4 linked regions of the Stegostoma tigrinum genome follow. The protein of the gene in region 4 purifies or fractionates together with the protein of the main gene of each other region. This does not show direct contact. Links are inferred from orthologs where the notes say so. Each region holds a gene or a part of one and is shown on either strand. Other genes may lie near its edges. The genes, in order: peak1, tyrosine-protein phosphatase non-receptor type 12-like, dock4 and growth factor receptor-bound protein 2.

The links.
Region 1: the proteins of growth factor receptor-bound protein 2 (region 4) and peak1 purify together in Homo sapiens (co-immunoprecipitation; 3 studies listed by BioGRID and IntAct, counting the BioPlex papers as one, with this or other methods). This does not show direct contact. The link is inferred for Stegostoma tigrinum from reciprocal best matches to the Homo sapiens genes GRB2 and PEAK1.
Region 2: the proteins of growth factor receptor-bound protein 2 (region 4) and tyrosine-protein phosphatase non-receptor type 12-like purify together in Homo sapiens (affinity purification with mass spectrometry; 3 studies listed by BioGRID and IntAct, with this or other methods). This does not show direct contact. The link is inferred for Stegostoma tigrinum from reciprocal best matches to the Homo sapiens genes GRB2 and PTPN12.
Region 3: the proteins of growth factor receptor-bound protein 2 (region 4) and dock4 purify together in Homo sapiens (co-immunoprecipitation; 4 studies listed by BioGRID and IntAct, counting the BioPlex papers as one, with this or other methods). This does not show direct contact. The link is inferred for Stegostoma tigrinum from reciprocal best matches to the Homo sapiens genes GRB2 and DOCK4.

Annotation. Positions count from the first base shown.
Region 1 is NC_081389.1:20,109,602-20,117,612, reverse strand, and holds the start of peak1 (inactive tyrosine-protein kinase PEAK1), read right to left. Parts: upstream 3,002-8,011; 5' UTR 2,820-3,001; intron 1-2,819. UniProt on the Homo sapiens protein: Probable catalytically inactive kinase. Scaffolding protein that regulates the cytoskeleton to control cell spreading and migration by modulating focal adhesion dynamics. Acts as a scaffold for mediating EGFR signaling.
Region 2 is NC_081378.1:24,619,947-24,627,944, reverse strand, and holds the start of tyrosine-protein phosphatase non-receptor type 12-like, read right to left. Parts: upstream 3,018-7,998; 5' UTR 2,832-3,017; coding exon 2,733-2,831; intron 1-2,732. UniProt on the Homo sapiens protein: Dephosphorylates a range of proteins, and thereby regulates cellular signaling cascades. Dephosphorylates cellular tyrosine kinases, such as ERBB2 and PTK2B/PYK2, and thereby regulates signaling via ERBB2 and PTK2B/PYK2.
Region 3 is NC_081371.1:31,391,346-31,398,524, reverse strand, and holds the start of dock4 (dedicator of cytokinesis protein 4), read left to right. Parts: upstream 1-4,170; 5' UTR 4,171-4,313; coding exon 4,314-4,350; intron 4,351-7,179. Other genes in the region: znf277 (zinc finger protein 277), read right to left, coding at 3,620-3,674. UniProt on the Homo sapiens protein: Functions as a guanine nucleotide exchange factor (GEF) that promotes the exchange of GDP to GTP, converting inactive GDP-bound small GTPases into their active GTP-bound form. Involved in regulation of adherens junction between cells.
Region 4 is NC_081375.1:55,040,253-55,047,421, reverse strand, and holds the start of growth factor receptor-bound protein 2, read right to left. Parts: upstream 3,010-7,169; 5' UTR 2,884-3,009; coding exon 2,806-2,883; intron 1-2,805. UniProt on the Homo sapiens protein: Non-enzymatic adapter protein that plays a pivotal role in precisely regulated signaling cascades from cell surface receptors to cellular responses, including signaling transduction and gene expression.

The sequences.
Region 1 (8,011 bases), on a different chromosome or scaffold from region 4:
TTTTCAGTTACTAGTGCAGTGACATTATCACTGTGCCACATTACTACCATCAAATTTTAATTTTAAATTTTAATTTAAACTGACACTGATAACAACTTTGGTTAAGAAAAAAGTCTCAAGGGCAAAGGTGGGTATATACAATTAGGTTCAGATCGTTCACGGGGCTACCTTCTTAAGAGTAAAGAGCCTCGGTAAACTTCAGTGCCAAAGAAATGAATCACAGAATCGCTACAGTGCCAGTAGAGGACATATGGCCCATCAATTCTGCACCAACCCTCCAATAAGCATCCCATCCAGACCCACCATCCAACCCTATCCCTGTATACCCACATTTACCGATGGCTAACCCATCTAACCTGCATATCCCTGGACACTATGGGGTGAGGGGAGGTGATGGCCTAGTGGTATTATGGCTGGACTGTTAATCCAGAGACCCAGATAATGTTCCAACGACCCAGGCTTGAATCCTGCCATGGCAGATGGTGGAATTTGAATTCTATAAATATCTGGAATTAAGAGAGTCTAATGATGACCATAAATCCATTGCCAATTGTCAGGAAAACTCATCTGGTTCACTAATGTCCTTTAGGGAAGGAAACTGCCATCCTTACCTGGTCTGGCCTACATGTGACTCCAGACCCACAACAATGTGGTCAACTCTGAACTGCCCTCTGAGCAATTAGGTATGGGCAATAAATGCTGCCCGGCCAGCTACACCCTCATCCCATGATGGAATAAAGAAAGAAAAATTTGGCATGACCAATCCACTTAAACTGCACACTTTTGGACTGTGGAAGGAAAATTGAGCACCCAGCAGAAACCTACACAGACTTGGAGAGAGTGCGCAAATTGCACATAAACAATTGTCCAAGGCTGGAATCAAACCTGGTTCCCTGGTGCTATGTGACAGCAGTGCTAACTGCTGAGTCAACATGTTGCCCATGAGAGCCACAATGAACGAGAAAGAATTTCTCATGCAATGACATTTATTTATATTTTAAATAATTAAATGAATAAACATTTAATTTCACACTAAATAAGACTATTACTTAAACATTTTAAATAAGCAGAGTAATTCAGACTAACATCCTTTGAAAGAAGGACATATTCTTTTCACCCCAATTATTTGCTTAACAGTTCCTCTAGCTTGAAAACTGATCATGTAGATATACATTTTCTCAGAGAAACACACAAGCAGCCTAATATCTACCAATCACTATTAGGTAGAATGCAAGGAACAGTGGAATGATTTTGACTCTCCAAACACAAATTAATTTGCATTTAATACATTTCAGCCAAGTCCAGTGTTCATTTCCACAAACTTTAGAATGCATTTGAAGCAGCAGTGCCGAGGTGGTACAAAATGCAATGGGATCCAAATGCAGCCCACATACTAAAACAAAACAAAAGTCATTTTTCTTGCTAATTTTAAAATGCATAACAAATAGAAATAGATTGATTTCATATCCCGATTGTGGAACTGACCTTAATTACTCAATCCAACCGCTCAATAAATATCTAATTCCACAGCTCACCACCTCTGTGGTTCATGCCTACACATAACGGGTCGATGGTAACTAATTATCACTGATGTAAGTATGTGTCAAGTATGATATGCCTTTAAAAACCGATTTGGTTTGAAGTATTATTGTTGTTGTAGAAACTAGCGATCTCATTCCTGTTTTCAGTTATGCCGACACAGTCCGGATCTATTTTTTTCAGATGTTAAAACCGGTTTAAGCATAAATTTTGTCTCAGATTCCGTTGCAAAGGGCAACCACTGTAAACTCTAATTCAATTATCATATTTTAAAATATCTTTTTGTTGTGCAGTAAATATTTTGCCGCACTTCCGTCACCCCAGTCGATGTATTACATCGAGCTCAAAGCATGCACCACAAAAACAAAGAATGCAAAAAAATTAAACTTGAGATAGAAATGGAGAATATCCGAATTTTTCCCAAAAGAATTCGCGCACCTAAGCTGTAATAAAACCCAAGTGATCCTTGCACGTTTCAAAAAAAAATTGGAATACAACTTAAGGACGTAAATAAGTTACATTGCCGTCCCTCCAAGAGAAAAATACGACATTCGCTAATATAAGCTTTATCCTCCCAAACTGAAGCTGTACCAGCCTGAGAGCAAGGACATAGTCAAAGAACTGAACTGTCCCGACAACAATATTGGCGAAAATAAAACAATCCATACCTTGAAGTCTCAAGACAAAATAAATATATATTTCATATAGGCGTATTTTAAAAACTTCAAAGGGTTACTACTTAGATAGTTGGATAACAATCCCTATTCAGTACCTGAAAGCAAAGAAGACCGCTTCTTAACTGATTATACACATGAAAAAGAACAGTAGATCCAAGAATATCTTCTGGTTATATCAAGGAGAGGGTGTAATTTGACAGTAGGTACAGTACAAACAATAGATGGCCTTTTCAGAGTAAAGGAAAGTTTGCCTGAGTCCCAGAGATAACTTGACCGAAATGAAAGGCGCCAGCAGTCTTCCCTCAAAATGTCTGGGAAAGAAAATATTATTTCTAACGATATCTTCCTACACATCCACATTCACACACAAACACAAACACAAACACAAACACACAAGGAAAGATTGCCTCTAAGGAAGTGTGCCACATTGCCGGCTGCTGGGTTAAGGACTGAGGGAGCAGACTGTCTGAAGCAGCTTCTCCCGCCGACAGGATTCCCCCTCTCACACAGACTTGGCTGAACAACTTCCAAAGGAATTTCTTAAAACTGAAAGATTGTCATTATCACCAACTGTTTTAAGGAAAGAACAGATTCCAGCCTTACCTGAAGACAGGGTTGACAGCTGATTGAGGAGGGGAGAGGGTAAGGGTTGACTTTTTTCTGGGGGTTTTGATCTGTTTTAATCCCTACACAGCACTTCTCTACCTTTTTCCTCTGTTTTTTAAGAGCTGCCTACCAGCCGCTCAGCACTCGGACTGAAAACACTGACGCGCGCTCCCGGCAGCGTGCATTCGGGGGCGCGGACGCTATCACGGACATGGCGTCGCAAAGGAGCGAGCACGCAAAGAACACATTCGACCTTCCTTCCCCCTAGCCAACCTCCTCTCAGAACCTACACTACCCCGCCCCTTTCAACACGCTTCCCCGCCCCTGCACAGTGTCCCAACCTATTCGACAGATTGACCCGCCCCATTATCGTCAGCCCCGCCCCTTTACAGACCGCCCCGCCCATTTCGGCGCATTTCCCCTCCCCATAGCCCAACCCCGACAAAGGCCTGTTCCATCCCAGTCGCCGCACTGCACCGCCCCATTACGGCCAGTCCCGCCCCTTTCGTCACGAAACCCCGCCTGCTCACTGCCAGTCCCGCCCCATCAGTGTCAGCCCCCCCCATTCCTCTCCCACCGACCCTTCTGCGCAGACTCCTGCCTCCTCACCTTGCAAAACCACCACGCGCGATGTGGCAAAACTCAAATCAGGCGTCTCGAGCCGAAAGTTCCAAACCGTTATTCTTGAGAGATGTTGAGAGAAAGGTTAAGGTCAAAGACCATGGGGCTGCTCTCTCATTAGTGAGAGATGGCTGGTGGTGGTTTAATCTAAGTGTCACCATGTTTCTGGCGAGGACAAGGTTAAGAAAGCGACTCCTCTGTGCTAACTATGGTTCCATGGAGAATTGAACCCGCGCCATTGGTCTCACTGAATCACAAACCCAAGGTTCAACTCACTAACTCCCCTGAGGTAGGATGGAGAGGGTGGATTTGGAGTTGGAATAAATTGTTACTGAGGGGAGTTGACGACCTCGTGATATTGTCACTGGACTAGTGTTCGAAAGAACTGCTTATGCTGGAAATCAGAAGCAAAAATAGAATGTTTCACGTCCAGTGACCCTTCCTCAGAACGGGACACTGGACCAAAAACATTAATTCTGATTTCTCTCCACAGATGCTGTCAGACCTATTGAGCTTTCCCAGAATTTTCTGTTGTACTATTTGAGACACCCAAGTAATTAAACCTGGTTTTCAATTCCACCAAGCAAATGTGTAGAATTTGAATCTAATCAAAATCTGCAAGTAAAAGTCTAATGATAACCATTAATGCTGTTTAAGGAAGGAAACCTCACCTGGTCTGGCTCGCATATGACACCACACCCATGGCAATGTGGTTTACTCTTAACTGCCCTCAAATGACTCAGCGAGACGCCGAAGAAGGGTCACTGGACCCAATATGTTAAATCTGTTTTCATTCCACAGATGATGCCGGACCTGCTGAGTTTGTCCAGCAATTTCTGTTTTTGTTTCAGCAAGACACTGAGTTGTATTAGCTCCTACAAAGGAAAAAAAAATGAAACCAGAAGGACCAGCAGGCATTAACTAAGACACTAAAACAACAACAGCAAAAACTGATCTGTTGACCTGCAAAGTTGCCCTGACTCTGAGGCCTAGTGTCAAAGACAGCTCAAGCAACAGCCTGAAATAACCAATGCATGGAATCATAATTTAGGCACATTGTCCTAGATGACACTGTCACCACCCTTGGATATATTCTAACTCACCAGCAAGACAAACCCAGCAGAACTGGCAGCATTGTGGTATACTGTGGAGAGCTGCCCTTGAAGTCTTCCATATTGACTGTGGAACTCATGATGTCTCTTGCTATCAGGCCAAGTATGGGCAAGGAGACCCTCTGCTGGTTACCAACACAGCACTTGCTTAGCTATAACCTGCACACTAACACTCAGTTCAGATTCTGCCAGGGTCAGTCAGCAACTGACCTCATTACAACCTTAATTCAAATATGGCCAAAGGAGCTGAATTCCAGATGTGAGGTGACAGTGACTGCATCTGACATCAAGGCCACATTTAACTTGAATGTGGTGTCAAAGAAGATTGAGTTGAAAGAAAATGTAAGGGAAGAATGAAGAATGTGATTGGAAAAGATGTTGATGGAAAAATTCAGAGACAGTAAGAACTGCCAGTGCTGGAGTCAGAGATAACACAGTGTGGAGCTGGAGGAACACAGCAGGCCAGTCAGCATCAGAGGAGCAGGAAAGTTGAGGTTTCAGGTTGGGACCCTTCTTCAGAAATGGCCTTGATGGAAAAACTTATGTTTTGCTCTGATAAAATACACATTTACATGATCAGTTTTCAAGCCTTGATCAGTTTTCAAGCAAATAGAATAATGGAGTAAAAAGATTTTGTCATTATATTGAAGGGCATCAATTTGAAATACTCTGCTTATTCGGTGTCTTCTGGGTGTGAGAATACTTGAAGGATAGAATGTGCGTGAGAGAACATTTGGAGGGAAGAATCATTGAGGGAAGACTGTGAAGAATGGGCTGGAATGATTGGGAATGAGAAAATATGGTGGTGAAGAATTTGGAGGGTAGAATGTGAGTAGGGGACTGCTTGGAGAGAAGTATGGCATATTCTGATTAAACAAGTGTTAAATGTAATACAGTATAATGATACTCACCTGTGAGAAATTACATAAGATCCACTGCATAGAAACTGTCCATTCAGTCCAGCATGTCCATGCTAGTGCTTACACTCTACAGAAACATCCTATCATGCTTCAGCTGACCTTGTTATCATATTTCTTTCTCACTCATGTTTCTATTTAGGTTCCCTTTAAATTAATTCATAATAATTACCTCAACTATTCCTTCTGATGGCATGTTTTACATTCTTGCTACTATTAGATCAAGATGTTTCTCCTGACTGATTGAGAATTTACAGATGGCAGAAATGACTGTTCAATTTCAATTCTTCAGGAAGAAAAAAAAACTTATTTTATTATTAAAACTTATTTTAATATTTTCTTAATAATTTTCATCACTTGATACTGTGTATTAGTGCAGAAGTGACAATATAGTTGAAATTACTGAATGCATTACAGTCCTTAGTTCTGAGAATCAGTGCACAGGGCCAGTTTCAGTATAAGTCCAGCATGATTAATATCTGATACCAGATGCCAAGTTTGTAAAAATAGCTATGTTTTTCATTGTATTCAGCCTTTCCCCACTGGAATTGGTGACATACTTTAGAAGCAAAAATGATGGAAACTCATTGGAAATAAGATTTTTTTCCTGAACTTTCAATTTCTTTTCTCATACCCCATAGAAATGACCATTGATTAATATATGGGAGTCTGCTCAAGTATGTATCTGTCCTGCAAACTGGTTGACCCTAGAAACCTAAAAGACAAGTTAAAAAAAAATGATGCCATCAATCATGTCAAAGACATAGATTATACTATGGTCATAGTAGCAAACAGAATGTCAGCGACTTTTTTAGGTAAATTTAGTTCATCAGAAACCTGATTAGAGAAATTCATTAAAATATTTACAGAGGAAATTAGCATAAAATTGCAAGTTTTTTTCTTTAAACATTGAGTTACCTGCTCAGATTCATTGTACAGATTATGATGAGGACCAAAAACAAGCCTAGGACTGGTGTCCCAACACGTTTTCAGGATAAAAATGAAAAGAAAAGCATTTTCTAGTTAATAACATGTGAAGATGAGCAAATTCCAAGACAAAGGCATATCACAGTGATACCCAAGTGTTTGCAACACTGAAACATCAATGCATCTGTACAAGGGTAATCAATGAGTCCAAATTATGCAAAAGGCCCAGGAATATGTGATATACTAACCAGACAAAGAAAATTATCAACTTTGAAAACTAAATGAGAAAAATCACTGTTTATGTTTTAGGTACAGTTGGCATATATTTGAACAGTTTATTGTAACCACTGATTTTACATTTTTTATTACATTTTTATTCAAGAAAGGAAATAAATAATTTATTATACCCTTTTTGACAATATTAGGGTGTCCCAAAATATTGTACAGATGATCAATTACTTTTGAAGTGCGGTCACTGTTAAAAGGTGGGAAACACAGTGACCAATTTGTGCACATTCAGTTTGAAATTTCTGTGGCCAGGAAGGGGAAACATATACCTAGACACTGACAAAATATTTCAGCCATCCTATAAAAAAGGATGCCCTTGACAGATTTAGATATTGTAATTACAGGAAATCAGAATTAAAAAGAGTTCTATCAAGCACAAAGTTTTCTGATAGGCATTACCTTAAAGTATTTTTTTGGAAAGAAAGACTGTACATTTCAGATTACATTTTGATATTGCCATTTCAGAAATTATAAATTTTAGTTGCTATGTGAAAAATGTTCCTACTGTCCACAGCGGACCAAGAAAGTCCTGGATTTGAAGCCCAAGACTGAGCTATCTGACTTCAGCAGATAAAACAAGTAGCACTCAGGAGTAAAACTGGTCATTTCAGTAAACTCTGTGGACAACTAATCAATTTGAATGATTATGAAGAGATGCCATCTGATCCATTTCAATCCAAGAAACAAATCTCATAGTTGGTCAACACCGATGGGCAGGGAAATAGTTGGACAAAAGCATCTTAGGGTAACTTGAATTCTGAATCTTTCTTCATGATGTGGCTTCCAAATGCATTGCCAAAAATTATCCAAATCAGCTTCAAAATTAAACTACAACAGCTTATGTGGCATACTCATAGCTTTTGGATATATTCATGCTTTAGCGTCTATAAGATGCAATTTTTAATACATTTCGTTAGGCAGCCACCAGAAGCTGGAGCTTGAACTAATTTCTATCCCTGCATTGCAGTGGCCACTGAAGCTCTCATAACTGCCTCAGTTTAATACAGACTTCAAACCCTTCTGCTGTATATGTCTGAAAAAAGCTTAAGTCACACTCTCTGAAGTAACCTTGAGTTATTATGCCACCCTTGCTTGAACGGGTTTTGTAATCAAACTGGGTGGGGGCTTCATGGAGGCAAAGTAGCAGGGAGTAAGAATTCAGCTACCATCAGGCCAACTTTCACCTCAGCTTGGGTTAAACAAACACTTCATGCTGTTTGGGTTTCTCCTGCTCCATTTTTCTTAAACAACTTCATAGAGAAAGACAAAAGCAGTAACATTGTGGGAAAACGATTGTTCGCAAGCACCCTTCCAAGACATACAC
Region 2 (7,998 bases), on a different chromosome or scaffold from region 4:
AACTCATATTCCGCCTGGGAACCCTGCAGCCGTATGGTATCAATGTGGGCTTCACCAGTTTCAAAATCTCCCCTTCCCCTACTGCATCCCTAAACCAGCCCAGTTCGTCCCCTCCCCCCACTGCACCACACAACCAGCCCAGCTCTTCCACTCCATCCACTGCATCCCAAAACCAGTCCAACCTGTCTCTGCCTCCCTCACCTGTTCTTCCTCTCACCCATCCCTTCCTCCCACCCCAAGCCGCACCCCCATCTACCTACTAACCTCATCCCACCTCCTTGACCTGTCAGTCTTCCCTGGACTGACCTATCCCCTCCCTACCTCCCCACCTATACTCTCTCCACCTATCTTCTTTACTCTCCATCTTCAGTCCGCCTCCCCCTCTCTCCCTATTTATTCCAGTTCCCTCTCCCCATCCCCCTCTCTGAAGAAGGGTCCAGGCCCGAAAAGTCAGCTTTTGTGCTCCTGAGATGCTGCTTGGCCTGCTGTGTTCATCCAGCCTCACATTTTATCATCAACTCCTTACAACCTTGAAACAAAGGTAGTTCTCAACCTTGTCACGTTTGACCACATGAACTTTCAACCATATATTCACAACATCCCAACTATACAAACTTCTACAACAAACAGAAATTACTTGAAAATCTCAGAAGATCTGGCAGCATCTGAAGAGAAATCAGAGTTAACATTTTAGGGACCAGTGACCCTTCCTCAGGTCACCAGACCCAAAATGTTAACTCTGCTTTGTCTTCATAAATGCTTCCATACCTGGTGAGCTTTTTCAACAATTTCTGTGTTTGTTTCTGATTTACTGCATCCACAGTTCTTTCCACTTTTATATGAAACTCTACCCTTGTGATTCAGAGATTGTGGGAATTGTCAAAGCTGGAGAATCTGAGATAACAAGGTAGCGAGCTGAATGAACACAACAGGCCAAGCAGTAGAGGAGCAGGAAAGCTGAAGTTTCTTCTAAAGAGAAGTCCCAACCCAAAACGTCAGCTTTCCTGCTTGGCCTGCTGCGTTCACCCAGCTCTACACCTTGTTACCTTTAGTGATGTCTGATTCCAAACTCTGCAGCTCACTTGTTCTCCCAGCAACTATGCCTTTGCTGGCTTTAGTCTTGACTATTCCAATGCTCATCTGGCTTGCCTCCCATCTTCCATTTTAAATTGGAGTTCATTTAAAACTTTGCTGTCTGCAACTTAACTCGCACAGATTCCATTCAAATGTCACCTCCTTGCATGCTCACCTTTATTAGTCCTGGTCCAAAACGCCTCAAAGTTTAAAACATTCATTCTCATTTTCAAAGCCTTCTACAACCTCATTCCTTATTGTTCCAAAAGTAAGGAGTCATAAAGATGTCCTACTCATCATCCTGACCAAGTATCCTAAATAAATCTGGTCCCATTTGCCAGCATTTAGCCCACATCCGTCCAACCCCTTCCTATTCATATACCCACACGGATGTGTTTTAACTATTCAATTGTACCAGCTTCCTCCACCACCTCTGGCAGCTCATTCCACGGTTACTCCAGCCCTACCACATTCCAAAATGTTTATGTTCTTCCATTCTGACCTCATGCACATCCCTGATTTTAACTGCAGCATCTGCAAGCCTTCAAACTTAAATTGCTGCCCAAGCTTTTGGCTGTCTCTCCTAATGTCACTTTCTATAAAATTTCTCCTGTGAAGTACCAAAAGGCATTTACTGTGCTTAATGTATTATATTAAAATATGTAACAGTGGAGGTGAATAATAGATGCAGATGTCAATGGACTGAACAGCCATCTTCTATTGTTCATTGATGGCAACTTTTAATCAAAATTCAACTTCCAATGTTGATTTTCCCCAAAATGTTGTGAATCATTACAGACAAGATTCACAGGCATGAACCTCCCTCCAACATTTTCACTTATGTGCTAACGATTCAATCTAAGCATTGAATACCAGAGGGCTCATTCCACCAAAAAAGATTATCATAATCCTGTTTAATCTTGCCTTCATGCAATCACTAATGTCCACAAACTCTTTCATTCAGTGAATGCAGCTAAATCGTATTCCTCCCCCCACATACAGTTCCTGGGTACTAGTAGACGCTGATTCTCTTTTTCGGTACCCGAGTTACTCCAGCGGATACTAGCATGTCTAATAATCAGGACCCGAAGTGTTCCGAATATTGTACTGAAGCAAAAAAATAAAAACAGTCCAGTCAACAACGAAAATCCAGTCATTACACACTTCGTTGGAGCGAACACAACGCCCCGTGCCTTGCGCAACATCCGCAAACTCCCCACATTTCTGAGTCACAGCTGATAAATTCATTGCATTTTTTGTTGTACAAGGCAGGAGTTTCACTCAAGACAGACCCTTTAACAAACACAGCTTTACAATTGTCCAAACTATAGCTTAAATGGTATCTCTGAAAAAACAGAGTTCGCAGCACCCGACAAATGCAGCTTTCTGATTTTTGTTTTCTGAAAGTGAACGAGAAGCCATGAGGGAGCGGTTTAGGCCGCACAGCCTGGAGCTGGCAGTGATGGTCCTCATTCCTCCCCAGTGGGTGTTGGTTGAGAAGCTGGGACAAGGGGTAAGGGTTGTTGCTAAGGCGCCGCCACCAACCTTACACGGCCAAACTCACCCAAAGGAGAAAAATCGATTCCAGTTCGCGAAAGTTCGTTTACTACAAAGGAAAAACAATACTCGTAAGTGAGAAAAAAAACAATTAAACTCACCATGAAGTCGCTGGCAAAGTTGTCCTCCCCATTCTGGTCGCGGACTTTCATTTCCAGCACCCGGTTAATGAATTTCCTCAGAATTTCGCTTTGCTCCATCTTCTCGGCACATTGGAAAATTCAAGACCAACGGACAGGATCGAACTCTTATCACTTTCGCATCTTGCGTTTTTTTTAATGTGTTAAAAAAAACCTCCACCTACACACCTCTTCCGTATGAGAATCCTTAATTCTCAGCTTCCCCTCACCCGCCCGGCGCCACTTTCCTCTTTTTCTCTTTCGCCCTCTTCCCCTTCCCCGCCCCCACACGCCCCGCCCCTCCTCCTGCCTCTCATTGGCCCAGCGTTGCCATTGCGTCATGCCGCGACTTAGCCAGCTGATTCGGCCCTGCACCTACCACTCATTGTTACACCTGCTCATTCTATCCAACTTGATACTCCAGAGGACTGTGCAATTCTCTTTCAGCAGGGGTTGGGTGGTGACGTTTGATGTTTGATTGCTGAGTCTGGGTTGTTTCGTTAAAGCATATGAATTGTGTTCATAAACAGACATTTTAGCAAACACTTCAAAGCTGCGCAGTGATGCTAAAGTGGTTACTGCCAATACAGGAGGATAGCTTTAGAGTACTGAAGGTTGAAGATGATTTGGTCAGACAGGTCAGTGGCGGCAAATAGAATTCAGTCCGAATAAAGTGTGAGGTGATGCATTTGGGCGGGAGAAGCAAGGCAATGGAATATATAAAGGGTAGAAATCTAGGAAGCACTAAGGATCAGAGCAAACTTGATGTGCATGTCTGCTGGTTCCTTAAGGTAGAGGACAGTAGATTAAGTAGTTAAGAAGGCAATGGGAAGTTTGCCCTATTAGCTGAGACCAATCATTTAGGAGGAGGGAGGTCATGTTGAATTGTATAAAATGTTTGTCAGGCCACAGCCAGAGTATTGTGTAATTCTGGAATCCACATAATAGGAGGGATGTGATTGCACCAGACAGGTGCAGAGGAGATTTGCCAGTCTGTTGCCTGGACAGCAGAGGTTTAGTTGTGAGGAGAAGTTGGATAGATTGGTGTTTTCCTTGCAACTGAGGAGAGATGTGATTAGAATATATAAAATTATGAGGGGCTTAGACAGAGGCTAGACAGCTCTGAAGATGTCATCTAAAAGGGGGGTGGAACATTAGCACTCAAATCAGTCAGCTTTGCGAAACAGCCAACAATTCCAGCCACAACCTGAGCCACAGATCTTTGTTAAAACGTTATGAGGGAATAGATAGCGAAGAAAGATAGAGAGGAACCTTTCTCCTTGGTGGAGGATCAGTAAGCAGGGAACATGGATTTGAGATAAGGGACAGGAGATTTAGTGGAGATGCAAAGAAAAACAATTTCATCCAGAGGCTGGTGAAATCTGGAATTCACTATCTATAAGGGTAGTATGTGCAGAAAATCCTCATAATATTTAAGTAGTATTTAGATGTCTACTTGCAATGTCAAGACACACAAGACTATGAACTGAGTACTGGATAATGGGATTAGAATTGTCAGGTTAATAAAATGTGAGGCTGGATGAACACAGCAGGCCAAGCAGCATCTCAGGAGCACAAAAGCTGACGTTTCGGGCCTAGAAACTAGGCCTGAAACGTCAGCTTTTGTGTTCCTGAGATGCTGCTTGGCCTGCTGTGTTCATCCAGCCTCACATTTTATTATCTTGGAATTCTCCAGCATCTGCAGTTCCCATTATCTTAGAATTGTCAGGTGCCTGTTTTTTGACTGGTACTGACTCTGTGGGTCAATAGGCCTTCTCCTGTGCTGTAGATCTCCATATTTCTTTTAACCTGATGAGGAGCAAAAGAAAGACCACACTGCTTCCAAGCCACTCACCATCTGGTATGGAAAAGTACTGCTGCTCTGTCAATGTCACTGTATCAAAATACTAGAACTCCCAACAACATTGTAGGTGTACACAGCAAATACAGTATTTCAAGAAGGCACCTTCAAGCGGAACTAAGAATGGGCAATAAATGGTCATAATGTCTACATCCCTTAAGTCTTTCAAAAAAAAGGGTAGGAAGGGGAAGCTTAAAATTTACGTCCGTACAGTGAGAACTTAACCTGCTAATAAAGAGCACAGTTTTCTCTACTTCCTCTTTGCTTGAGCTTGTATTGAGTTGATCACACGCTTGAAGTTATTAATGCAATTTATTTCTGCTAATTGCTTCAACTGTATCTTTGCATTGGGGAAGAGTTATGTGGAACATACAAAATAGAAGCAGAAATAAGTCATTTGGCCCATCAATCTGTTCCACGATTCAGTAAGGTCATGGCTGATCTGACTGCAGCCTTAAGTCCACTTTTCTCCCTATCCCAATGTCACTTGATTCTCTTGTAGACTACTGTTTAAGGCAGTTTATTTTCAACTGTAGTACACCTACAGACTTCCTAAAATTGTTGAAATTGCCACTGTTTACCTAAATTCTCTGGGTTCAGTTAAGAGTATGTTTCTCTGCAAGAGGAGTGTGTTCAGCTTACTTCCGGCAAACAAAACTGCGGCATTGAAGTGAAGAATCTGAGGAATGATGATGGGTTCTGTGCATGTCACTGAGACTCAGCTTGGTCCCAGTCAAATCCACTCAGTTTCATACATCAGTCCAGCCTTTCTCAAGAGCTGTACTCCAGACATGGAATTACAGTGGCTCCCCTTAAAGTCATGGCAACATGCAACCACGTGTGATACCCAAGAGCCCTAACAAAATTGAAGTCAGTGGGAAATAGGAAAAATTTCCAGTGGTTGAGAATCATATCTGGCACAAAAGAAGGTTGATGTTGGAAGACAAATCATCTCAGCCTCAGGTAATTGCTGCTTTTTTCCCAGGACAATGACCTAGGCCCAATAATATAAAGCTACTTAATTAATCACTTCCCTGTGATAACGCTGTATTTTTGAGGAAGTGAAGCTGAGATAGACAGCAAGTGTGCAGATCAGCTTAATACCAACAGAATGGGTTTGATCCATATTTCAGTTGAGGCAGACGTGAGGACTGCCTTGGCACCATACCTGGAGGAAAAAGAAAATCGCAGCACTTGGGTGCCAAATGTTTGCTTGCCTAAATCTAGATATTCTTGAATATTGGATTACTTCATCATCTGAGATATTGTGGAATGTAACTAAATATACTGACTACTTCTTGAGTTCTCTGCTCAAAGGCAGATCCTTCACTGAATCGCAGCACTTTGACAAGACTGCCTGCAACAAGAAAGTTTAACCATTTTCCCATGACACTTAATGACATTTTTGCTCAATCCTGTGCTATGAATTTTTTGAAGTCAGCTTTAACCAGCAATGCAACACAAAAAATGCTTTTGTTGCTGGAGCAGGGTTGGGTTTAACTGAAAGCAATGAAATTAATAATTTTGAGATGTATCAATCAGTGATGCACTCGAACAACAAGTGCTAGAAACTTACAAGATAATGTATGGTTTAGAAGGGGTGGATGCTAGGAAGTTGTTTCCGTTAGGCGGGGAAACTGGGACCCGTGGGCACAGCCTTAAAATTAGAGGGGGTAAATTTAAAACTGAAATGAGACGACATTTCTTCAGCCAGAGAGTGGTGGGCTTGTGGAATTCATTGCCACGGAGTGCAGTGGAGGCTGGGACGTTGGATGCCTTCAAGGCAGAGATCGACAAATTCTTGATCTCAGAAGGAATCAAGGGCTACGGGGAGAGTGCAGGGAAGTGGAGTTGAAATGCCCATCAGCCATGATTTAAATGGCGGAGTGGACTTGATGGGCCAAATGGCCTTACTTCCATTTCTATGTCTTATGGTCTTATGGTCTAAAAAACCCTTAATTCATTTAGCTTAGAGGAAACAATAATTCTCACATATTATAGGATGAGCAAATGCTTTCTAAAATCTACATATACTTTGTAATAAAATGCTGTCTAACATTTAATTTTCATGTGCAATTATTTTCGTGTTGAATATTTTTTCAATAAATGTGTAACAAAATGTCAGTATTTTTAGCACCTACAGAAATAATTACTATTTGCCTTCTAAGTACTCCACTATTAATTGATTGGATTTCAGTGGCTCAAGGCTCAAGTGGTAAGGGCATGGAACGCCCTGCCTGCCAATGTAGTTAACTCAGCCACATTAGGGGCATTTAAACAGTCCTTGGATAAGCATATGGATGATGATGGGATAGTGTAGGGGCAGGGACTTAGATTAGTTAATAGGTCGGCACAACATCAAGGGCTGAAGGGCCTGTTCTGCACTGTATTGTTCTACATTCTATGTTCTAACCATGTGATTTTAACAATTTGGCCTTCGAAACAACAAATTATAAGAGTAATTTACCATTATGGGACCAAGCTGGGCTGCCCTTCCAATGAACTCTGGTAAGAATTGTATGAAAATGTGTTTTTTTTTGTTGTTATTCACATTATATTTTGCACACACTCCATTTTGTAGCCTTGAGCATTCATTTAATTGCTCACTCACATTCCAATTTGACTGTTAACATGTATGGAATTTAACTTAAGTGAAGCACTAACTTGTTCATCAAAGCAAAATGACATGAATTTACCATTGCTCAGCGTCAGACAGAAGCCTCTAATAGGAGCAAGTTATTTCATAGGGTGGAGATAGTATGTATGTTTCTTTCACATAGTTTCATGCCAGGACATGACATTTGATTTAAAAACATGTTATATTTGTGGTGTGAATGGGCAAGAACTGCAGCTACAGTTTGGGAGTCATAATCTGAGCAAGTGTACATTTGACTTTTAATGTGGATGACATTAATGAATCTGTTGAAAATGGGAGTTATTAGAAATATATTAGTATGCTCAGACATATTAATTACAACATGAAAATTAAGCCCAATCAGTATACATTGGTATTTACCTGCTATGTAAACAAGTTCTGATCATGTGTTCCTTGTTGCTATGCCCCTTCATTCCCTTTTTCATCATCCATCTATCAAATCTAATTTTGAATGTTGCCTACCCTTGGAAGTGATTTCCACAGACAAGGAATTCTAAGGTTTTAATATACCTCCAAAGCGACAGATTTCTGCTCAAGTTTCTTATTAAAGACTTTCAGTAAATTATTAAGAAGTAAAATTACGAGTTTCCAAATGCTATTTATCATTTTATCTCTGCAATTTGAGAAATTAGAATGCTTAGAACAGCATTAAGAATTGACAGTTAATCAATGGTGCTGCTTTCTCACATACCACTACTCATTGGATCATTGTAGATTCTGGGACAATTGAT
Region 3 (7,179 bases), on a different chromosome or scaffold from region 4:
AAATTTTTAATTTTCCATACTCGAAGAATGAATAAATTTCTCATGAAGAGACATTTTGGTATTTGGATTATTAGTTTTAAGTTATATCAGATAAGAGAGTCAATGTAAATTGTGTGTGCAAATGTTATTTTCTATCACCTCTTTCTTCTTTTTCTGACACAATCGACTTAAACAACAATCAAGATAAACCAACAAAACTACCAAATGGAAAATAGGTCTAATCATTCACTAAAATACTAGCAATCGGATAAGGACAAGAGGAGGTTTTTGTCTTTGAAAAACGTATAGCAGAAAAAGGCAGGTAATTGGAATTTGAGGAAGTAGCTCTAGTTAAGAGCTATCATTAGAAGATGACAGAATAAATTACTAAAAATGCTGATTTTTATAACTAAAAGGTTCTGGATAACTTTGTATGCTCCTTCCTCTTCTGAAGAGGTGACCTTATAGAGGTTTATAAAATCACGAGGGTACTAGAAAATGTGAATAGCAAATGTCTTTTCTCTAGGGTAGGGGAGTTCAAAACGAGAAGGCATAGTTAAGGTGAGAGGAGAAAGATTTAAAAGGGACCTGAGGGGCAGCATTTTCACACAGTGTGGTTTGAATGTGGATCGAGCTGCCAGAGGAAGTGGTCGATGTAAATACAGTTTTAACATTTAAAAGATACTTAGACAGGTACATGAATAGGAAAGATTTAGAGAGATATGGGTTTAGAGCAGGTGGAACTTGAACTTGGGCCTGCTGGCTAAGAGTTAGGGACATAATCCCCATTCCATGGAAGACAAACCCTGACTTCATGTTACAATTAGATTTCCAGTGCATGTCATGTGATTACAATCAAAGCAGTAGGCCTGTCTATCACCTAACATTCATAAACCAAGAGACTCAAGACAACCAGTGCAACGTACAGCTGGATGATCAAATTTAGCACAGATCAGGGAACAGGATTGCATTACATCCGTCTTGATCTGTATGACACACATCCCCACTGAATGGTCAGACATGCTAACAGTCACAAAATAAACGTACTTGTACAGAACAGAACTTAAACATCAATAGAAAACAAAAATAAGGACTTTCTCAAATCCATTGACACGAACCGTGCTACATGAATATAGAATTAGTATTAGGATTTTATTGACACATGTACTCAAGTATAGGAATGCATGAGTACAGGCAAAAGTGGTGATCATTTTGATATCCAGTCATTTATTCTCTTTGTCAGTGCTAATTCCAATTTTTTGGGAATAAATTACTCTCGAATGTTACAGAAGGGTCATTCAGTCAAACCTATGCTAGTTATCTCAAATAAGTGCTGCATGTTTAAATTCAAAGTCGCATATTGAAAAAATCACTAATCAGAAAATCCATTCTTCGCACAAGCATAAAAAAAAACTTTAGATTTTTCACCCTGAGGGCGATGATTCTGATCAATTTCAACCTAGTTGACTTCTAATTTAGAGATAATGGGAACTGCAGATGCTGGAGATTCCAAGATAATAAAATGTGAGGCTGGATGAACACAGCAGGCCAAGCAGCATCTCAGGAGCACAAAAGCTGACGTTTTGGGCCTAGACCCTTCATCAGAGAGGGGGATGGGGGGAGGGAACTGGAATAAATAGGGAGAGAGGGGGAGGCGGACCGAAGATGGAGAGTAAAGAAGATAGGTGGAGAGGGTGTAGGTGGGGAGGTAGGGAGGGGATAGGTCAGTCCAGGGAAGACGGACAGGTCAAGGAGGTGGGATGAGGTTAGTAGGTAGCTGGGGGTGCGGCTTGGGGTGGGAGGAAGGGATGGGTGAGAGGAAGAACCGGTTAGGGAGGCAGAGACAGGTTGGACTGGTTTTGGGATGCAGTGGGGGGGGGGGAATAGCTGGGCTGGTTGTGTGGTGCAGTGGGGGGAGGGGATGCACTGGGCTGGTTTGGGGATGCAGTAGGGGAAGGGGAGATTTTGAAACTGGTGAAGTCCACATTGATACCATATGGCTGCAGGGTTCCCAGGCGGAATATGAGTTGCTGTTCCTGCAACCTTCGGGTGGCATCATTGTGGCAGTGCAGGAGGCCCATGATGGACATGTCATCAAGAGAATGGGAGGGGGAGTGGAAATGGTTTGCGACTGGGAGGTGCAGTTGTTTGTTGCGAACTGAGCGGAGGTGTTCTGCAAAGCGGTCCCCAAGCCTCCGCTTGGTTTCCCCAATGTAGAGGAAGCCGCACCGGGTACAGTGGATGCAGTATACCACATTGGCAGATGTGCAGGTGAACCTCTGCTTAATGTGGAATGTCATCTTTGGGCCTGGGATGGGGGTGAGGGAGGAGGTGTGGGGACAAGTGTAGCATTTCCTGCGGTTGCAGGGGAAGGTGCCGGGTGTGGTGGGGTTGGAGGGCAGTGTGGAGCGAACAAGGGAGTCACGGAGAGAGTGGTCTCTCCGGAAAGCAGACAGGGGAGGGGATGGAAAAATGTCTTGGGTGGTGGGGTCGGATTGTAAATGGCGGAAGTGTCGGAGGATTTCTAATTTAATTTGTGGAACAATCTGGAATTCAAGAATATCCCTCTTCCTTCCTCTCTTTGCAATGAGCTCTACACAAACCTATCCTTTGTAGCCAACATTTACTTCTTTTCAGAGACTCTCATCATGGCTGCGAGACTGACCGTGCATGCCAAGTGCACTGAGAGATTCAAAAGTGCTCTAATTGCACAATGGTCATTCTCCTCCCTCTGAACCAGGAGACCTGCCTACTCCAGAGATATTTAATAACATCTCTGAACAGGTGGTGATTAGAAAAAAACATATCAGGAGTTCCAATTCCCAATTACACTATTTCACATTTCATTCTTTCAATTCTGACTGTGCTATCATCATTGATGGGATCGATCACTAATACACAAACTGACTGTGAACAAATTGGGAAAAGTTCTACATGACAATGGACAATGGACAAATTGAGTGCAGTTTAAAATTACTCTGACACAAAATCAAATGACAAGCTGTGACAACACCAGATGGGCAATAGGTACCAAATAATGAAACATATACAAAACGTATATTTTGAAATGCAGTCAATATTCAAAATCAGACAAACTGACAGATACTATTTTATGTCAGGCACACAGGAAATGCTTCAGAGATAGTAGGAAATGCAGATGCTGGAGAATCTGAGATAACAAGGTGTTGAGCTGAATGAACACAGCAGGCCAAACAGCATCAGAGGAGCAGGAAAGCTAGTGTTTTGGACCTAGACCCTTCTTCAGAAAATGCTGTAACTTTTAGAATTAGTAGTTCTAGAAAAGTGTGGATGTTCATTTCTTGAATATAATCAACTGAGGCGTTAATAAATATTCAGATTCAAAGAAAATTGTGTGATATGGGAATAGTGCAACAAAATGAGTCACATCAATCAAATTGCAATCAATTTCAAAACAGGCCCTAAAAACCAAAAAAGTCTACTCCTGCCTCTATTCCTAATACTCTCTATGACACGGAAATATTCACTGAATACCAAATGATCCTGACAAGCCCTGAACTGGAGGACATGCATCTGTAGCCATCCTCAGTTGGGCTATGACGCTCCACACATTCACCTATATTTACAGTGCAGTCCTCTGTACTTTGGGAAAATCGGTCACCTTGGTCTGCCACAGGCGAGTCCACCACGTTTGCGTGGAGTGAACCTCGTTTCATTTTAAACGTGTAACTTCTGCTGGTTTAGGAAGACTCACAGTTTCCGGCGTGACCTTTTCCCCCAGTACCGAATGTCGCCATAATGGCGTTGATTAATACACAGTAAACGCACCCAGAACGAGGAACCACTGAAAATATTTATGACTGAAGCGCCCACCTTCGCCAGCTGCTATCCCCATCACCGCCATCGAATCCGCACCACCCAAAGATCTTCATGGACAGAGGCGGGGGCGGGGCCTCCGACCAGAAACCATAACAACTGCATCGCAACCAATCGCCGCACGAAGGGTAGTGACGTTTGGGGTAGCCTCGGCAGGTGCTCTGGGAGTGTTCGTAGTCTCGGGCTTCGCCTCCAGTCAGGGCCCGGTGACAGTTGAGGACTCCAACTCCCATAAGACACTGCGCAGCAGTGGTGGTTGGGGTGAACATGTCCTCGAAACTACATTTCCCATAACACCACGCGGCAGTGATCTGCAGCCCAGACTACAACCCCCAGCAACCTTCGCGGTCACCCGGGCTCCTACCCGTCCAGAGGCTGAACAATGGTCCCGCGGAAAAACTGCTCAATAACTAGGGCGCGCTAGGAGACAAGTTTTATTGTTGGGTAAAACATACACTTATCGTATATCAGTGTCGACAATGTGGATACCGACAGACAATGAAAAATACGGTGTGGGTGAGTGCTTTCTGTGCATTTTTGTCTTGCCCCTTTCTTTTTATTCAATGAGTTGGTCTGGTGCCAGTGTCGCTGCAGAGAGCAAAGGGAGATGTTTAAGAAAAATCTGTGGAGAACTGATCCGGCCACCATAATAATGTTACCGCTTTCATAACGGTGCGAGCTGTTATCCCCGCTGGCAGATAGCAGCAGGTCTCGCTGCAAAATAGCCTTTCTTTTCACTTTCCCTTTGCTTGTTCGCTTCGGAAATGCCCTTATTGATAAAGAGAGAGAGAGAACGTAGGATGTCCTTCTTGCTTTGTGGTCTCGTTACCTTTCCCGTTTAGCATTCCCCACACCTTTCTGAAACATTCACACCATGATTTGTCTTTCTCTGCCTTTGTGTTGCTTTGCTTCATTGCTTTTGCCTGTACGACATTTGCACCTGATAATCGCTATTTATGTGTTTCCTTGATTAAAAACCAGTAAGCCTGTTTCTTAATAGGGTAGACAAAGGTTGGGAGTGTGCCTAGCTACATAGCTATAGAATAACGCCCTGAAGTGACATAATTCATCCGTTTATCAATTTGTTCTTTGTGATTTGGTTTTATGATCAGAGTTGTGTAAAGTTTAGCAAGCGATAAATGATACTGCGCTGATCGATAAACGAATGGGATAAGCTGACCTGAAACATTCCTTCCATTTAATTATTAAATATAGAACAAACGCGCTTCCAAAAGGACGGGGAACTATTTGATTTTTAATTTGGTGTAACAACAAAGCAGTGTAATCTGGATGTTACCTCCGCCGCTCAGCGGGACAACGGTTCAATGTAAGACTGATACGAAAACCGCTTCATTTTTACACAGCGGGTGACGGGCTTCAAGAAAACAAAAACATGAGATATGAGACGGCATTTAACCCCTTCTGACAATTTCAATAACCCTCCTTGTATTACTGCTGTTGCAAGCATTATTGAAGTCAGCCCCCCAGGCAAGTGTTGTTGGGGAAGGTGAAATGTTTGTGTCAGCACATTTATTCTTGATTCTTTGTGAATGGAGCTCCACAATGAGTCAGAGAGTTGCTTCATACCCAGATTGCACAGATGTCCTTCACTTTGCCTAAATATGTGTTTTTTTTAAAAAAAAAATCCGCTGACTAAATGTTGACCTCGTCCGCCTTTAGAAGAAATGATCTTGCCGGGACACATCTGGATTTCTCCCTCCGATCAATGGATATTGAAATTTCCGCTTCCCACTGCAATTTAGCCAAAGCTGTGCTGTGCTGTGCTGCAAGTCTCTGGGATTTAAACAGCACGGACTGCAGCTTTTCATCTGCTCACGCTCCGAGTAGATCCGCTGGATTTGGAGCGTGGCTTAGCTTTTAATGTCAACTCTGCGGGATCGTTAAATCTCTGCAGCAGTGAGCGAAGCCAGGATCTCAATCCATGTTTTAGTCAGTCGAGAGGACGTGGACTCGCAAGTTCCTTGTCCTACTGCGGTTAGTTGGTCACATGAAATATTGTTTTAGAAACATCATACTCTTGAACTATTTGCAGAATTTTTAGCACAGAGTCAATATATTTGGCTGGCAATAGGTACCAGTCTATCTCGCCTGGTAACAAGTTGACTTTATGAGAGAGTCTGTGTGCATTGTGTAACTAATTGCGATTTGCAATAGAGGGTAGCTTTTCAGTTTTCAAGTGGTGTCCAGGAGCCAGAAAATTGATCATGTTTTGTCATCTCCAGACCGAGGTAGCTGCAACAATTCGAATTCTGTTTTAATCAACTGGTTTGGACATGGTATGATACACCTCCGGGACATGCGAGGGGCACTAGTGAACAATGCTTTTCTTCCCCTCGTGCTATTTCTCCCTCAACCCGCTACAATCGGTGGACAGTAATGACTGCAATCTATAATGTTAGTGAAGCAAAGCTGATCATTTGGAAAAGGTGCTGGTGACAAGACGAGCAGACAACTTCAATGAGTGCAGTTTGACACGAAAGTTGTCAACTCTCATTGCCAATGCTTTAACTCTGTAGAAACAAGTTTGCAACGTTAAGCTTTTGGGGGAAAATGAGGAGGACTTTAACCTTTTTTTGCAATCAACATGTTCAGAAATGTTATGACCTACCTCTAGACCAGGTAGGACTTGACACACGGCCCTCCCAGACCAGTGCGCCGCGAGAGATAAATTTAACCTGTAGGGGATTTCTTCGTTATTCGGACATCACCTTCAGGATTGAGGGTCTAGGCTCGAAACGCCAGCTTTTGTGCTGCTAAGATGCTGCTTGGCCTGCTGTGTTCATCCAGCCCCACACTTTGTTATCTTCAGGATTGATGCTGCTTTGGAGTTGTATTGGACGGTGCAATTTTGTTGCAAGGATAATCTGATGATGGCCCGGGATGTTGCCCTTTTGGAGGGGAGGGGGGGGGATCTCTTTCCAATTCGTAGAAAGGTGATAAGACAGATTCTCTCGCAGCACAAATAAATCAATACGCTCTACCGGATACTTCTCATACTCAAACAGCAATTCTAAGGCCTTTATTGTGCTCTCAGTACATTTTTTTCGAGATGCTCAGAAGCAAACAAAAAACTGCAATATGCTGGGAATCCGAAACTAGCTGCAAGATGCAGAAAACACCAGGCTACTCAGCAGCTGTGGGGCGCACAGATACAAATCCCTTTAAGGCTTTAGACCCTTCATTGAAACTGCTGTATGAAAAGGTCGATTCTTATCTAGTTTCCTGGCGGTTGATATCTGACAACGCTGTTTCTCCAGCGTTTTCTGTTTTCTGTTTTACTTTTAAAAAAAACTGGCCAGACACAGCTCTTTTTTCCATATGCCC
Region 4 (7,169 bases):
TCCCCCGATCCCCCTTCTCCTTCTCTCTCCCTCCCCCGATCCCCCTTCTCCTTCTCTCTCTCTCTCCCTCCCCCGATCCCCCTTCTCCTTCTCTCTCTCTCTCCCTCCCCCGATTCCCCTTCTCCTTCTCTCTCTCTCCCTCCCTCCCCCGATCCCCCCTCTCCTCCTCTCTCTCTCTCCCTCCCTCCCCCGATCCCCCCTCTCCTCCTCTCTCTCCCTCCCTCCCCCGATCCCCCCTCTCCTCCTCTCTCTCCCTCCCTCCCCCGATCCCCCCTCTCCTCCTCTCTCTCCCTCCCTCCCCCGATCCCCCCTCTCCTCCTCTCTCTCCCTCCCTCCCCCGATCCCCCCTCTCCTCCTCTCTCTCCCTCCCTCCCCCGATCCCCCCTCTCCTCCTCTCTCTCCCTCCCTCCCCCGATCCCCCTTCTCCTTCTCTCTCTCTCTCCCTCCCTCCCCCGATCCCCCCTCTCCTCCTCTCTCTCCCTCCCTCCCCCGATCCCCCCTCTCCTCCTCTCTCTCCCTCCCCCGATCCCCTTCTCCTTCTCTCTCCCTCCCCCGATCCCCCTTCTCCTTCTCTCTCCCTCCCCCGATCCCCCTTCTCCTTCTCTCTCTCTCTCCCTCCCCCGATTCCCCTTCTCCTTCTCTCTCTCTCCCTCCCTCCCCCGATCCCCCATCTCCTTCTCTCTCTCTCTCCCTCCCTCCCCCGATCCCCCCTCTCCTTCTCTCTCTCTCTCCCTCCCTCCCCCGATCCCCCCTCTCCTTCTCTCTCTCTCTCCCTCCCTCCCCCGATCCCCCCTCTCCTCCTCTCTCTGCCTCCCTCCCCCGATCCCCCCTCTCCTTCTCTCTCTCCCTCCCTCCCCCGATCCCCCCTCTCCTTCTCTCTCTCCCTCCCTCCCCCGATCCCCCCTCACCTTCTCTCTCTCTCTCCCTCCCTCCCCCGATCCCCCCTCTCCTTCTCTCTCTCCCTCCCTCCCCCGATCCCCCCTCTCCTTCTCTCTCTCTCTCCCTCCCTCCCCCGATCCCCCCTCTCCTTCTCTCTCTCCCTCCCTCCCCCGATCCCCCCTCTCCTTCTCTCTCTCTCTCCCTCCCTCCCCCGATCCCCCCTCTCCTCCTCTCTCTGCCTCCCTCCCCCGATCCCCCCTCTCCTTCTCTCTCTCCCTCCCCCGATCCCCCCTCTCCTCCTCTCTCTCCCTCCCTCCCCCGATCCCCCCTCTCCTCCTCTCTCTCCCTCCCTTGATCCCCCTCTCCTTCTCTCTCTCCCTCCCTCCCGCGATCCCCCCCTCTCCTTCTCTCTCTCCCTCCCCCGATCCCCCCTCTCCTTCTCTCTCTCAATCCCTCCCCCGATCCCCCTTCTCCCTCCCTCCCCCGATCCCCCTTCTCCTTCTCTCTCTCCCTCCCTCGATCCCCCCTCTCCTTCTCTCTCTCCCTCGATCCCCTCTCTCCTTCTCTCTCTCCCTCCCTCCCCCGATCCCCCCTCTCCTCCTCTCTCTCCCTCCCTCCCCCGATCCCCCCTCTCCTCCTCTCTCTCTCTCCCTCCCCCGATCCCCCCTCTCCTCCTCTCTCTCTCTCCCTCCCTCCCCCGATCCCCCCTCTCCTCCTCTCTCTCTCTCCCTCCCTCCCCCGATCCCCCCTCTCCTCCTCTCTCTCTCTCCCTCCCTCCCCCGATCCCCCCTCTCCTCCTCTCTCTCTCTCCCTCCCTCCCCCGATCCCCCCTCTCCTCCTCTCTCTCTCTCCCTCCCTCCCCCGATCCCCCCTCTCCTCCTCTCTCTCTCTCCCTCCCTCCCCCGATCCCCCCTCTCCTCCTCTCTCTCCCTCCCTCCCCCGATCCCCCCTCTCCTCCTCTCTCTCTCTCCCTCCCTCCCCCGATCCCCCCTCTCCTCCTCTCTCTCTCTCCCTCCCTCCCCCGATCCCCCCTCTCCTCCTCTCTCTCTCTCCCTCCCTCCCCCGATCCCCCCTCTCCTCCTCTCTCTCTCTCCCTCCCTCCCCCGATCCCCCCTCTCCTCCTCTCTCTCTCTCCCTCCCTCCCCCGATCCCCCCTCTCCTCCTCTCTCTCTCTCCCTCCCTCCCCCGATCCCCCCTCTCCTCCTCTCTCTCTCTCCCTCCCTCCCCCGATCCCCCCTCTCCTCCTCTCTCTCTCTCCCTCCCTCCCCCGATCCCCCCTCTCCTCCTCTCTCTCCCTCCCTCCCCCGATCCCCCCTCTCCTCCTCTCTCTCTCTCCCTCCCTCCCCCGATCCCCCCTCTCCTCCTCTCTCTCTCTCCCTCCCTCCCCCGATCCCCCCTCTCCTCCTCTCTCTCTCTCCCTCGATCCCCTCTCTCCTTCTCTCTCTCCCTCCCTCCCTCCCCCGATCCCCCCTCTCCTCCTCTCTCTCCCTCCCTCCCCCGATCCCCCCTCTCCTCCTCTCTCTCCCTCGATCCCCTCTCTCCTTCTCTCTCTCCCTCCCTCCCTCGATCCCCCTCTCCTTCTCTCTCTCCCTCCCTCCCTCCCTCGATCCCCCTCTCCTCCCTGCCCCGGTCACACTCTCTTTTCTACCTCCCCGTGTTGTCTTCTTTTACCCCGTCATGCATCTTTCTCTTTCAACCAGCTCTCTTCACCTTCGCCCCCCACTCCCCCCCCCCCCCAACGACTCGCTCTCTCACTCTCTCCCTCTCCTCTCTCCCTCTCCTCCCTCTCCCCCTCCCTCTCCTCCCTCTCCCCCTCCCTCTCCTCCCTCTCCCCCTCCCTCTCCTCTTCCATAGTCTCGCTCCGTGACGCTTCCTCCTCCGCTCCTGAATCCGGCTTTAGCCGCGATCTCATCGCGGCGGCCTCACCTTCAGTATATCTTCCCTCTTAAAGCTTAGCTCATCGTCTGCTGTGGCCTTGAAGTCGTACTTGGCGATAGCCTCCATGTCAGCGCGACGTTGGCCTTGCTCTGACTTTCAGTCTGGGGCTGGGCCTGTCCGTCGCCAGCGTGTGGCTGTCGCCTAGGCCCGGGACCACTGCGCGTGCGCACTGCGACAGGCCGCTCCCGCATACTGCGCCTGCGCACGCACTGGGCGTTCCGTGTCCGAGGCACGTACCGGAATAGCGTCAGCCAGGCTCAGCGTGATGCTCCTGGACCGGAAACGAGCGTTGACCTCGCCTTCGTCATCTTGTGCTTAGTGTCATTTGACCTTTGGTTTTCTGTCTTGAGTTGGAGCATAAACTTGAGTATCTCTGGGTGTTTTCAGTTCTCATTCTTCTCCTGACCTGCGCTTTCGAATGTCTAATTCCTGTGAAATGCACCTCGTGTTGGTAAACTTCAATGGTCCTCGCTCTTTGACCATTCCTTTGGAAGACATTGTGAGCTTGCTTATTGGCACCACATTGTTGGTGCTGGTGGAGGAGTACTGTTAAGTTACTGGTAGGCTCTGTATTGCTGTTATGATTCTCCATCTCCTGAAAAGGAAGAAAGGAAATTCGTGTCAGTAGTCTGAAAATTTCTCTGCTGTGCACCTCTGTCAAGATGGAGAGTGTATCAGTATTTCACAATCTGTTCTTCACCCTCTTCCACGCTTGTTCCTCATGATCCCATGCAGCATTGGTACACATCATTATTAATCATCGATGCCCTCATTGTTTTGTCAAGTAATTGAATTTTTAACTCTTCCACTCTGCCTTGTTCATCAACACCACTTTGCTGAGCATTCTCCTAAGTAAAAATCGGAGCGGCTCTTTTAAGATTCGTGGCCTCACTATCTACTGTGAGCTGAAGAAGAAAGCCCACATTTGGTACCCACTGGTACTGCTGACTGTGAGAGGTTGTTTCTTTTAAGCTCTCAACGGATCTTAATTTGAAAGAGGTACCTTAGATATTGAAGTAGTCCATATCAAAATGTAGCAAGATCTGGATAACACAAAATATTGGTTGATAAACATTCACACTATACAACTGCAAGGCAATAAGCAATTTAAAAGAGAGAATGTAACAATCATCCAATGAGAGTCATTGGCATCAACGTCACTAAATACCCCAATATCAACATCGTAGGGGTTCCATTGAGCAGAAGGTGAACTGGACTAGCTATATGTGGCTATAGGAACAGCTCAGAGGCTAGGAAACCTGTGGTGAATAACTTACACCCTAACTTCTTAAAGCCTATTGAGTATCTGGAAGGTAAGTCAGGAATGTAATAGAATACAGACACATGCTGTCCCTTTCTCTCTCTTTCCCTCACATACAAATCTATGGGGTGAATTTGCTTTGTAACTCTATTTTGTTCAAATAGCTCACACGTTTGTAGGTAGTCAATGTGGCCTTTTATAAATTCTTACTTTGGAAATAAAATCAGTCCAATTTGATACACAGCCAGATTCTAAATGAGGCCTCTCATGTAAAATGCATTGTCTACCCTTGGATGCCACCTCTGGTATACTGAGGGCAAAGATAAAATCTTTAGTTATTCTCAGAGCAGTGACTTGAAAGAAACTTGGGAATTTACATAGAAACATAGAAGATAGGAGCAGAAGGTGGCCATTCCACCCTTTGAGCCTGCTCCACCGTTCTTCAAGATCATGGCTGACTGTCCAACTCAATAGCCTAATCCTGCTCTTTCCCTGTAACATTTGATCCCATTTGCCCCAAGTGCTGTATCTAGTCACCACTTGAAAACATACAATGTTTTGCTATCAACTACTTCCTGTGATAATGAATTTGATAGGCTCACCACTCTTTGGGTGAAGAAATGTCTCCTCATGTGCGTCCTAAATCGCCTACACCAAATCCTCAACCTGTGATCACTGGTTTTAGACACACCCACCATCAGGAACATCCTCCCTGCATCTGCCCTGTCTCGTCCTGTTAGAATTTCATAAGTCTATGAGATCACCCCTCATTCGTCTGAACTCCAGCAAAAACAATCCGAACCTAGTCAATATCTCTGGAATCAGCCTGGTAAACCTTTGCTGCACTCTCTCGAGAGCAAGAGCATCCTTCCTCGGAAAAGCAGACCAAAACTGCACGTAATATTCCAAGGATAATGGGAACTGCAGATGCTGGAGAATTCAGGATAACAAAATGTGGAGCTGGATGAACACAGCAGGCCAAGCAACATCTCAGGAGCACAAAAGCTGACGTTTCGGGCCTAGACCCTTCATCATAATATTCCAGGTGTGGTCTCACCAAGGCTCTGTACAACTGCAACAACACATCCCTGTTCCTGTACTGGAAACTTCTCACAATGAAGGCTAACATACCATTTGCCTTCTTTACCGCCTGCTGCACCTGCATGCTTACCTTCAGCGACTGGTGCACAAGGACACCCAGAACCGCTGCACACTGCTCTCTCCCAATTTACAGCCATTCAGGTAGTAATCTGCCTTCTTGTTTTTGCTTCCAAAGTGAATAACCTCAGATTTATCCAAATTATACTGCTTTTACCATTTATGTGCCCATTCACCCAACCTGTTGAGATCATGCTGAAGTATATCTGCATCCTTGTCGCAGTTCACCCCCCTCACCCCCCCATTCCAACTTGGTATCATCTCCAAACTTGGAGATGTGATATTTTGTTCCATCATCCAAATCAGTATATATTGTGAATAGTTAGGGTCCCAGCACTGATCCCTATGGCACCCCCCTAGCTACTGCCTGCCAATTTGTAAATGACCATTAATTCCTACTCTTTGTCCGTTCTGTGCCAACCAGTTTCCTATCCATCTCAATACACTTCTCCCAATCCCCCACACTTTTCCCTTGCACATTAATCTCCTTTGTGGAACTTTGTCAAAAGCTTTCTGAAAGTCCAAGTATTAATCCTTGAATTGCAATATTGCAATTGCATATTAATCCTTTCTAACTGATTAAAGATTTAACATTTAATTGTTTAATACCACATCAGTTATATGACCCTTTGACTGTTTGCTTATAAATTCTGTGTCTGATGTCACCTCTCTCACTGACACTGAAGAAATGAGATTCCAAAAGTTTGTGTCTTCAAATAAACCTGTTGGACTATAACGCAGTGTTGTGATTTTTGATCTTGTCCACCCCAGTCCAATGCTGGCACCTCCACATCATGTACTTGGGAAGATTCTGCAGACTACTATCATCTTACTGTGTTTTCCTTAAGGAGTTGTTATTACTGGAATGACAAAATTGACCCTATTCATCATTCTGTTGGCTGGATTTTCTATATAGACCACCTAGCAGAGTGACCACCCAAAGGATGCACTGCAAAAACCATTAACGATCCCTAGACAGCTCTTTCCAAATCCACAATGTTAGCATCTTGAAGATGAAGTACTAATCTAATTACTAATTACTGATATAATGATGTAGGTGTAGGAAATGATGTTCTGATTAAACCTCAGCATTATAGGGCTTACTCTCTAAATTTGGCACAGGTTCAAAATGAGATTGAATGTACGCTCAAAGACAATTCCATTGAAGTGAGTTGCAAAGAATGGAGCACACCCAAAGTAATGGTATCAAAACCAGATGGTACCCAACAATTCAATGCAGTTACAAGTTCTGATTTATATCCTACTTCTACATTTGGAAGTCTGCATTGACGAGGTAGGACATGTAACCTATATTTATAATTTGGACTTACTCAGAGGATACTGATGTGAAAGAGCGAAGGAAATTTTAGCTTTCATGACGCTGAATAGACTTGTACCAGTGTAAAATCATGCCATTTGGTATGAAAAATGCTCCGGCCACATATCAAAGACCAACCAATGAAGTAATTTTGGGATTACCCAGTTTTGTGGTTTACATTGACGAAACGGTGATTTTAATCAGAAGAAGAAGGAAAATTTGAAGCATCAATCCAAATTGCTCAGTCAACTTTGGGAGATGGGCTTGGTGATAAATGTGGCTAAGAGTGATTTTTCTAAAGCCTAAGTCATGTTCCTGGGCCATGTTACTGGACTTGGACTGATGGCCCCAAGTAATATGAAAAACAAGGACTTTTGGGGAGTTTCCCATACCATCGATGAAAAGGAAAGTACAACATTCCTGGGATAGAGTGGTTTTTATCAGACATTTGTACTGAATTGTAGAAGTGTGGTCGCTCCACTGACTGTTTGGTTGAAGGAGTGCAGAAAATTTCAGTGAACGGAGGAATTTCACAGCTGGAAAGCTGCGTTGACCACTGCCCCAGTGTTAGACATACCCGATTGTGCAAAGCTATTCCAAGTGACTATCAGTGCA